Macaca fascicularis: one gene and its partner. The protein of the gene in region 1 purifies or fractionates together with the protein of each later gene. This does not show direct contact. Links are inferred from orthologs where the notes say so. Each region holds a gene or a part of one and is shown in the gene's direction. Other genes may lie near its edges. The genes, in order: CD33 and PTPN6.

Region 1 (4,479 bases):
AGGCCATTTGCGGGGGGAAGAAAAAGATCATGTACTTCTTTTTAGGATGGTGGGGAGTTTAAGTTTCCCTTCGAAATAAGAAGAAAATCTTTCAAAACTATGAGTGACAGAACTTCAAAGTCCTCCGTTGGGAAGAACCCAAGTAACAAAAGTTTATTAAAAGAAAAACAGAGGTTAGCAACCTGTATACCTCATGTGCACATGGGAGACACCCAGGGAAAAAGAGTAAATTTCAAAGAGGTGGCTTTGACTTCAGGCTTAAACAGCATCTTCCACAGAAGCAAAGAAAGAAGGGTGTGGGCAGGCCAGTTATCGGAAGGCAACAGGGAAACACACCAGGAAACAACAGCGAGGTTTGTTTTGCAGATCACATGGGTGCCTCTTCCCTTGATAAGAGTTTCGTGAGTGAGTCGTCTTCTCTGCCAGGTACAGAGGGAGACCCCTTCGCTGTTGGAGATTCCTTTGTAGATGTGATTTTCCCTTTAAAAAAGGGAACTTCGCCGGGCGCGGTGGCTCAAGCCTGTAATCCCAGCACTTTGGGAGGCTGAGACGGGCGGATCACAAGGTCAGGAGATCGAGACCATCCTTGCTAACAACGTGAAACCCCGTCTCTACTAAAAAATACAAAAAATAGCCGGGCGAGGTGGCGGGCGCCTGTAGTCCCAGCTACTCGGGAGGCTGAGGCAGGAGAATGGTGTAAACCCGGGAGGTGGAGCTTGCAGTGAGCTGAGATCTGGCCACTGCACTCCAGCCTGGGCGACAGAGCGAGACTCCTTCTCAAAAAAAAATAAAAAAAAAATAAAAAATAAAAAATAAAAATAAAAAAGGGAACTTCTTCCCTGGTTCTCAGAGCGTCTCCTGTGTCTACAGGCTCTTGAAATAATCTTTATGCCAAAAAGGCACATCTTGGGGTGGCGTATTTTGGTCTCCTACAGCCATATCTTGGGGTGATGTGTTTTTTGTCTCTCATATTCTCATAAGGTTCAAAAGATCTATTGTAGGTAAAGGATTTAGAACAGTTAATAATAAATTAATAATTAATTAATACTAAAGGCTCACTAACAGCGTTCTCCAATTAAAAAAAAACTATTTCCAGCTGTTTGCACAAGTCTCACATGACGTTTGACCTGATGTGTCTTTGGTGTGAAAGGACTGGAAAGTGAAGGGTTATGACTGCCCTCTGGTGGCCATACTGTGAATTACAGCCTCTACAAATCCCCGTGAAAGTTGGTCCCGACGGTGGAGGACGTACTCGCTCATTCACTTCTCGTGTGTTGAGGATCACAGGAGGTTCTCCCGTGGCTTGCTCCGTATTGGATGGGAGGTTGGTAAAAACAAAAAAGTCATCCCACGAACTGCTGCAGAGAGAGAAGAGGGCTTCCCTTGGCGCCACACTACAGGGAAGTTTTACAACAAAATCTTTCAGCACATGGGAGCAAACGTACTTCCTGCATTCAAAGCAAACACACGTTGCTCTTCCGTCTGCAGAAGAGAATAGACTGCGGCTCTACCTGGTATGAGGCAGCACGGATGCACACATACAGGCCGCTCAGAGCTCCTGAAAAGTGAGAGAAACAGACATACGTGGGAGCCTCGGCGGGGGTTGCCGCAGGAAGCAGACGCATCCGTAAGAAAAAGACGGACGAGGGACGCCTCATCAGGGGCAGCTTTGCAGTGTGAATTAGGAAGAAGGTAGGGAAACAGCCCCCACCATTTATTAAAGCATTCATTCGTGTAGACCTGCACTGAGCATGCGCTTTATTCTTAGATGTGCTGTTATGTGGCGATGGAGGATGTTGGAGACAGGGCCCAGGAGAGGTCCCTCCTCCCCATCCTCTCTCTCTCTCTTTCAGGCTCCAGCCAGGGAGCGGGGACTCTGCTGGGGCCAAGGATCAGATGACAGAATCGTAGAAGGAAAGAGCTAGAGGGAAGCATGAGCTTGCTCCTTCTTCTGGAGCTGGGAAATCCATCTGCTCTTGGTTCTCGGGCCTTCATTAAATTCATTAAAGAAACACAGTAAGACTCACATATTCATATTTGATCTTCTGGTCCATGAACATAGTATGACTTTATTGTTAAAACTAAATGTGACTGGGCACAGTGCCTCACGCCCATAGTCAAAGCACTTTGGAGGCCAAGGTGGGAGGATTGTTTGAACCCAGCAGTTCAAGACCAGCCTGGGGAACATAGCAAGACCCCATCTCTCCTAAAAATAAAAACAAAAAATTACTCCAGCCTGGTAGTATGAGCCTGTGGTCCCAGCTACTAGGGAGGATGAGCTGGGAGAGTCACTTGAGCCTGGGAGGTCAAGGCTGCAGTGAGCTGTGATCATGCCAGTGCACTCCAGCCTGGGCAACAGAGCAAGACCCTGTCTTAAAAAAAAAAAAAAAAAGCACTAAATGTACTGAATTTTCCATTATGTGCCACATGCTAAATAACTTACAACAGATATTATTTACTGGAGACTTAATTTGTTGTATATCAAATGAGGATTCTACCTCTCTATTAGTAAGGACGAATTAAGAGTTATCTAGATACTATTGTGTGTAGAGATTTGACAAAGGTAAGGTGGCAAGTACTAATATGTCCCAGGGATCAAGGGTTGCTGGATGCATACTACACAGAGTGATATGGACAACCACGTAGCTGGACCTAAAGTTTAATTTTCTCTGTACATTCCACTCATGTTGTCTGGAAATATTATGTCTTTGGGCCATATTTAACTGTGAGAAGCAGATTTTTACATGAAAATGTTGATCCATATCATGAGCCTCTAAAAAAACTTGCTTCTGCCCATACTGAACCAAATAACAGCATGAACAGAAAAAAGTTTTTTTCTGCACTGGTTCATAGAACGAACATGTGTTCTCCCTTTTGTTTTACAGGAAGATGCTGCATAGTTCTTATTTTGGAGATGTCATCGACACTGTGCAAAGCAGTGTACTAGCTGCCAGGGGAAAATTCTATAGTCAAATTTCTTTCAAATTTTCCAATATGCTCCCATGACACATGGCAAATTCCCAATTTTTCACAGCTCTAAATCCAGACAGTATATGTGTGTGTGTGGTGAGGACATGAGGCTATGGATGGGGAACATCTCAAGGGCAGGAATCAGGTCAGTGGTATCTCTTCTCAAGCCCCACCTACACACAAAGGCTCAATGTAAGAATTAAAGAAAGAAGAAAGAAACATGTATGGTGGCTCGCCAGTCAAGACAGGTTTTAGAGAAAACAAACCTGAGAGGAGTTTCTGGCTGAGTTAGGTAGAGGCACACTCTCTTACAGACTAAGAGTTTTTAAGGATTTAGGGTGGGAGGGTTTATCAGAGGCTTGGACTGCTTCTGTGTGTCTTTGTTGTGCTTATCTGGGAGGGAGAGTTGTGTATCTGTTCCCATACATCTTTTTGCAGCTGCAGGCATACCCACTGAGTCTGCATTTAGCTTTCCAACTTAGTGCACCTGAAGGCAAAGGAATGTGCTTATTAAGGCCCACTGTTTTACTAGGGCCCATTGGATGAGAGTGAAGTTTGGCAATAACTCAAGAGACTTTCCCCCCAACCTCCCTCTGTGCCTGAGCTGTCTTATCCGTGTTTCACCGGTCTGCTCTTTCTGGCTGCTGGTAGTTAGCAGAGAAGTGATTTCCTTGAAATGCATGAGGCTAGAAAGGGAGTTGGAACTTAAAGTGGCGGTGTTTGTCTGAGATGACAGTGGTCCTGCTCTGTCACTCACTATGTCTTTAGTGAATGAATGAAGAAATGAATGGCTGCCACCTTCACTTTACCTAGGACTCTTCTTTGTTTCTCTGCCCCAGACACTCACACAGACCCTATAGAATCCTATATCCTGCTGGACAAATCACCCCATGGATCTAGGCGAGCCTGTGACTCGGGCCAGGCCAGCAGTGACCAGCCCCCATGCAAACAGTTGTTCACAGAAAAGTACCTCAGAGTGGAAGGATTTTAGACATGGGGTTTGCATGTCTCAGATGGCCCCGGAGGTACTGGTCCAGGCTCCGGTGCTCCTGGGAGGCAAGACTCAGATTCTGCTCCATCTCCTCCCCTCTCTGGGCGGATCTCTGGCATCTCTGGCCCATGAGGTTCAATCTGTGTGGAAGGGACAAGCTCTGAGCACGTGTGGGTCTGAGGTTCCTCTTCCATGCAGGGCTGAGGTCTCCTGCTCCTCCCCAGCTTCCTATCCGGCCCCCTAGCCCTTCTCCTCCACTCCTTTCCTGTTCTCTGCTCACACAGGGAGCCCAGGAAACCTCAGCCTCAGACATGCCGCTGCTGCTGCTGCCCCTGCTGTGGGCAGGTGAGTGACTGCTGGGAGGGGGGTTGTCGGGCTGGGCCAAGCTGACCCTCATTTCCCCACAGGGGCCCTGGCTATGGATCCAAGAGTCAGGCTGGAAGTGCAGGAGTCAGTGACAGTACAGGAGGGTTTGTGCGTCCTTGTGCCCTGCACTTTCTTCCATCCCGTACCCTACC
Region 2 (3,805 bases), on another chromosome or scaffold:
GGGAAAGGGGTGTGCTTTGGGGAAAGGGCTTAGTTCTGCTTTCTGCCCCGACAGCCCCTTTGAATCCCTTTGAACCCTTTTGAACCCTGGGCTCCCCTTCAGTGACATCATCCAGGGCACCCCAGAGCCCCCTACACCACTCTTTCCCTGGTGGGGTTGTCCTCCCCGCCTCCCTGGGGGAGCGCACCCCATTGGCCTTCCTTGTGACTTGTGTCTCTCTGTCCATCTCCCACCACTCCCTGTGGTGTGGCCTTGGTCTGTGTTTCTCTTTGCCTCTGGTCTCTGCCGGGGCACAGCCTGATCCTTCATGGAGACTCTTCCTTAGTTTCCCTCTTCCAAATATTTGGAATATTGCCAGCCCTTCTGCCTTTCAGAGGTGGTCTCTGGGTTCAAAGCCTGGTCAGAATTCTGGGGGCTAAGATAGCTTGAGCCTGGGAGGTCAAGGCTGCAGAGAGCAATAACCGTGCCCCTGCACTCCAGCCTGGGCAACAGAGCTCTGGAGGCTTGCCTTGGAGTCCATCAGGGGCCCTAGGCCAGTGAGTAACAGCTCAGCGTCAGTTTCCTCATCTATAAAATGGGGGTAATATCATACCCAGCCCTCAGCATGTTTGTGAGAGGCATCAATACGATGGTGGATTTGGAACCATCTAGCGCAGTGCCTGGCCACAGTAGGTGCTTGATTTCCTGCCCCTCTCTGTGAATATCTTTGCTCAGCGCCTTCCCCTGTGGCCTGGGTCTCACCTTCCCTGACGCTGCCTTCTGTAGGTGGTACCATGGCCACATGTCTGGAGGGCAGGCAGAGACGCTGCTGCAGGCCAAGGGCGAGCCCTGGACATTTCTTGTGCGTGAGAGTCTCAGCCAGCCTGGAGATTTTGTGCTATCTGTGCTTAGTGACCAGCCCAAGGCTGGCCCAGGCTCCCCGCTCAGGGTCACCCACATCAAGGTCATGTGTGAGGTAAGGCAGCCAGGTGGTGGGGGAGCCTCTGCTGAGGCTCCTGTCTGTGACCGCAGTGTGGGTGGCAGGGAGGGTCTGCCTGGGCTTGAATTCAAGGCTGGGGCCCAGGGAGGGAGACTCGAGCCCTGTGAGTGGCCTTATTTGGCTCCCTCCAGGGTGGACGCTACACAGTGGGTGGTTCAGAGACCTTCGACAGCCTCACGGACCTGGTGGAGCACTTCAAGAAGACGGGGATTGAGGAGGCCTCAGGTGCCTTTGTCTACCTGCGGCAGGTCAGGCGGGGACCCAGCTGCTTCCTCCCTTCCCCTGAGCTGTCCCCCAGGTGTGAGCTTCTGAGACCTCTGAGTTGCTGACTTCTCGCTCTCCCCTATCCCAGCCGTACTACGCCACGAGGGTGAATGCGGCTGACATTGAGAACCGAGTCTTGGAACTGAACAAGAAGAAGGAGTCCGAGGATACAGCCAAGGCTGGCTTCTGGGAGGAGTTTGAGGTGCATGGTGGGGAACCGGCAGGGCTGGGGCAGCTGAGGCGGTGGCGGCCGCGTGGGGCCCCAGGCGGACACCTTCCTCCCCTTGCCCACCTCTGCTCCTGACCCACCCCACGTGAGCTCCCCTGATGGGTGCTCTCTCTGGGAGGTGATGCTCATTTCCTCACCCACATCTCAGAGTTTGCAGAAGCAGGAGGTGAAGAACTTGCACCAGCGTCTGGAAGGGCAGCGGCCAGAGAACAAGGGCAAGAACCGCTATAAGAACATTCTGCCCTGTGAGCACCCAGCCTGCCCCATTCACCCAGGAGACCGCCCCACCCCAGCCACTGCCCCTGCCCCATTCACCCAGGAGACCGCCCCTGCTGCAGCCGCTGCCCCTGCCCCATTCACCCAGGAGACTGCCCCGCCCCAGCCGCCGCCCCTGCCCCATTCACCCAGGAGACCGCCCCACCCGAGCCACTGCCCCTGCCCCATTCACCCAGGAGACCTCCCCTGCTACAGCCGCTGCCCCTGCCCCATTCACCCAGGAGACTGCTCCGCCCCAACCGCCGCCCCTGCCCCATTCACCCAGGAGACCGCCCCGCTCCAGCCGCCGCCCCTATCTCACAGGTCTCCACCCTCCACTCCAGGAGGGGCCATCTCCCCACACCCCTTCTCCAAAAGGCCTCTACTCCTCCCAGAAGTGCCTCCCCACCATCAGCAGGCAGGCTGCCCCTTGCTCCTAACCTCCTTCTTGTGAATCCCCTCACTCCCTCCGTACAGATGATCCCCCACCCCTGCTGCCCACAGTCCCCCGCAAGCCTCATGGCTTCTGAGACCAGAACGGCCTGTTAGCTCAGGAGGGTCTGACACAGGTGTGGTGAGTCCCTGGCTGACCCAGGCCATCTCGCCTCCTCTCCACCCACTCCCAGTTGACCACAGCCGAGTGATCCTGCAGGGACGTGACAGTAACATCCCGGGGTCCGACTATATCAATGCCAACTACATCAAGGTCAGTGGTGTGGGTCATGTGGGAGGAGAGGCTGGGCCCTGGGAATTCCCTGTCTGGTGGGGGACCCTAGATCCAGAGACACCTGGGCAAAGCCAAAGCTGGCTTCTTGCATGGGTGAGGGGAGCAGTGGTTCAGGCCCTGTGCTGGGCTGAGGGGCTCACTGTTTTGGGGTGCGTCTCTCCACGCTTGTGTCCAGAACCAGCTGCTAGGCCCTGATGAGAACACTAAGACCTACATCGCCAGCCAGGGCTGTCTAGAGGCCACGGTCAACGACTTCTGGCAGATGGCGTGGCAGGAGAACACCCGCGTCATCGTCATGACCACCCGAGAGGTGGAGAAAGGCCGGGTAGGGCACCCCGCCCCATCCCCACATCCGTGCCCCGTCCTTGTGGTCATACCATTAAGTCAAAGAACCGTCAGATGCCAGAGCAGAAAGGGATCTCGGGGGTGAGGGTCCAGCCTTGTTGGGAAACTGAGGGCTAGTGACAAAGTCTCGACTACACGATGCAACCCCCAGATCCCTGCATGCACCCCTGGGCTCTTCTGAGCTCCAGACCCAGGTTTTAGGCTGTCCTCCTTCCTCCTACACCTTCCCCACCTGTCTGCATCCAGGCCCCTCCTGTCCTCCCTGCCCCATAGATGTCTGTGGAGTCTGCCCCTCACTCTGCAGCCTCCCCTTACACAGCACCCTCTGTGCTGCCGTTGAAGTGATGCCATCCGTGACAAACTGGGTCGAGTTCCTTCCCCTCTGAAATCTCTTCCATGGCTCCTGGTCACCTTTGGGATAAAGTCACACTCGAAGGCCTGGCGTTCAAGGCCTGGTGGTTTCCCTGTGACTCCCACGCTTCTCTTGAAGGCTCACCGCTCCCAGCAGCCGCGGCTCTTTCAGGTTCCCAGCCTTTCTTTGCACAAGCTCTTTTCTGCTAGGAAATGACTCTGTCTCCACACTGTCTCCGCCCGGCAGATGCCTCGTGTTTGAAGACACAGCTGAAGCGCTGCCTTCTCTGTGAATTCAGGTCTTGTTTTCTCCAGGACCTAGAGGGCGAGTTTCCTCGTTCCCAGCCACGCTCCTCAGCGCGGCGTCTCCCCGGTCACTTGTCTCTGTGAGCTCCTCCAGGCACAGGGGCACAGACTGGGTGTTAGCTGTGTCTGTGACTACAGCCTGGTTTGCACGGCTTCGGGGACAACGCCTGCCTCGGCAATGTTTGTTGAATGACAAATGGATGTACCAGTAAAGCGGCTGGCCAGGTCGCACCACCTGTTGGTGGCTGATCTGAGACGAGAGCCCAGGTCTCCTGCCTCTCTGCCAGCTCATCTATCCATCCAACAAACGTTTGGGCTGGCGCCAGGCACTCAGAACCTAGAGCGGGAC

Evidence for each region.
Region 2: the proteins of CD33 (region 1) and PTPN6 purify together in Homo sapiens (co-immunoprecipitation; 4 studies listed by BioGRID and IntAct, with this or other methods). This does not show direct contact. The link is inferred for Macaca fascicularis from reciprocal best matches to the Homo sapiens genes CD33 and PTPN6.

Annotation. Positions count from the first base shown.
Region 1 is NC_088393.1:59,037,123-59,041,601, forward strand, and holds the start of CD33 (myeloid cell surface antigen CD33), read left to right. Parts: upstream 1-1,484; 5' UTR 1,485-1,692; intron 1,693-1,853; 5' UTR 1,854-2,016; intron 2,017-2,885; 5' UTR 2,886-3,082; coding exon 3,083-3,115; intron 3,116-4,217; exon of another isoform or gene 4,218-4,245; coding exon 4,246-4,306; intron 4,307-4,368; coding exon 4,369-4,479. UniProt on the Homo sapiens protein: Sialic-acid-binding immunoglobulin-like lectin (Siglec) that plays a role in mediating cell-cell interactions and in maintaining immune cells in a resting state.
Region 2 is NC_088385.1:7,893,766-7,897,570, forward strand, and holds part of PTPN6 (tyrosine-protein phosphatase non-receptor type 6), read left to right. Parts: intron 1-765; coding exon 766-955; intron 956-1,110; coding exon 1,111-1,227; intron 1,228-1,331; coding exon 1,332-1,445; intron 1,446-1,620; coding exon 1,621-1,717; intron 1,718-2,353; coding exon 2,354-2,433; intron 2,434-2,629; coding exon 2,630-2,779; intron 2,780-3,118; coding exon of another isoform or gene 3,119-3,139; exon of another isoform or gene 3,140-3,322; intron 3,323-3,805. UniProt on the Homo sapiens protein: Tyrosine phosphatase enzyme that plays important roles in controlling immune signaling pathways and fundamental physiological processes such as hematopoiesis.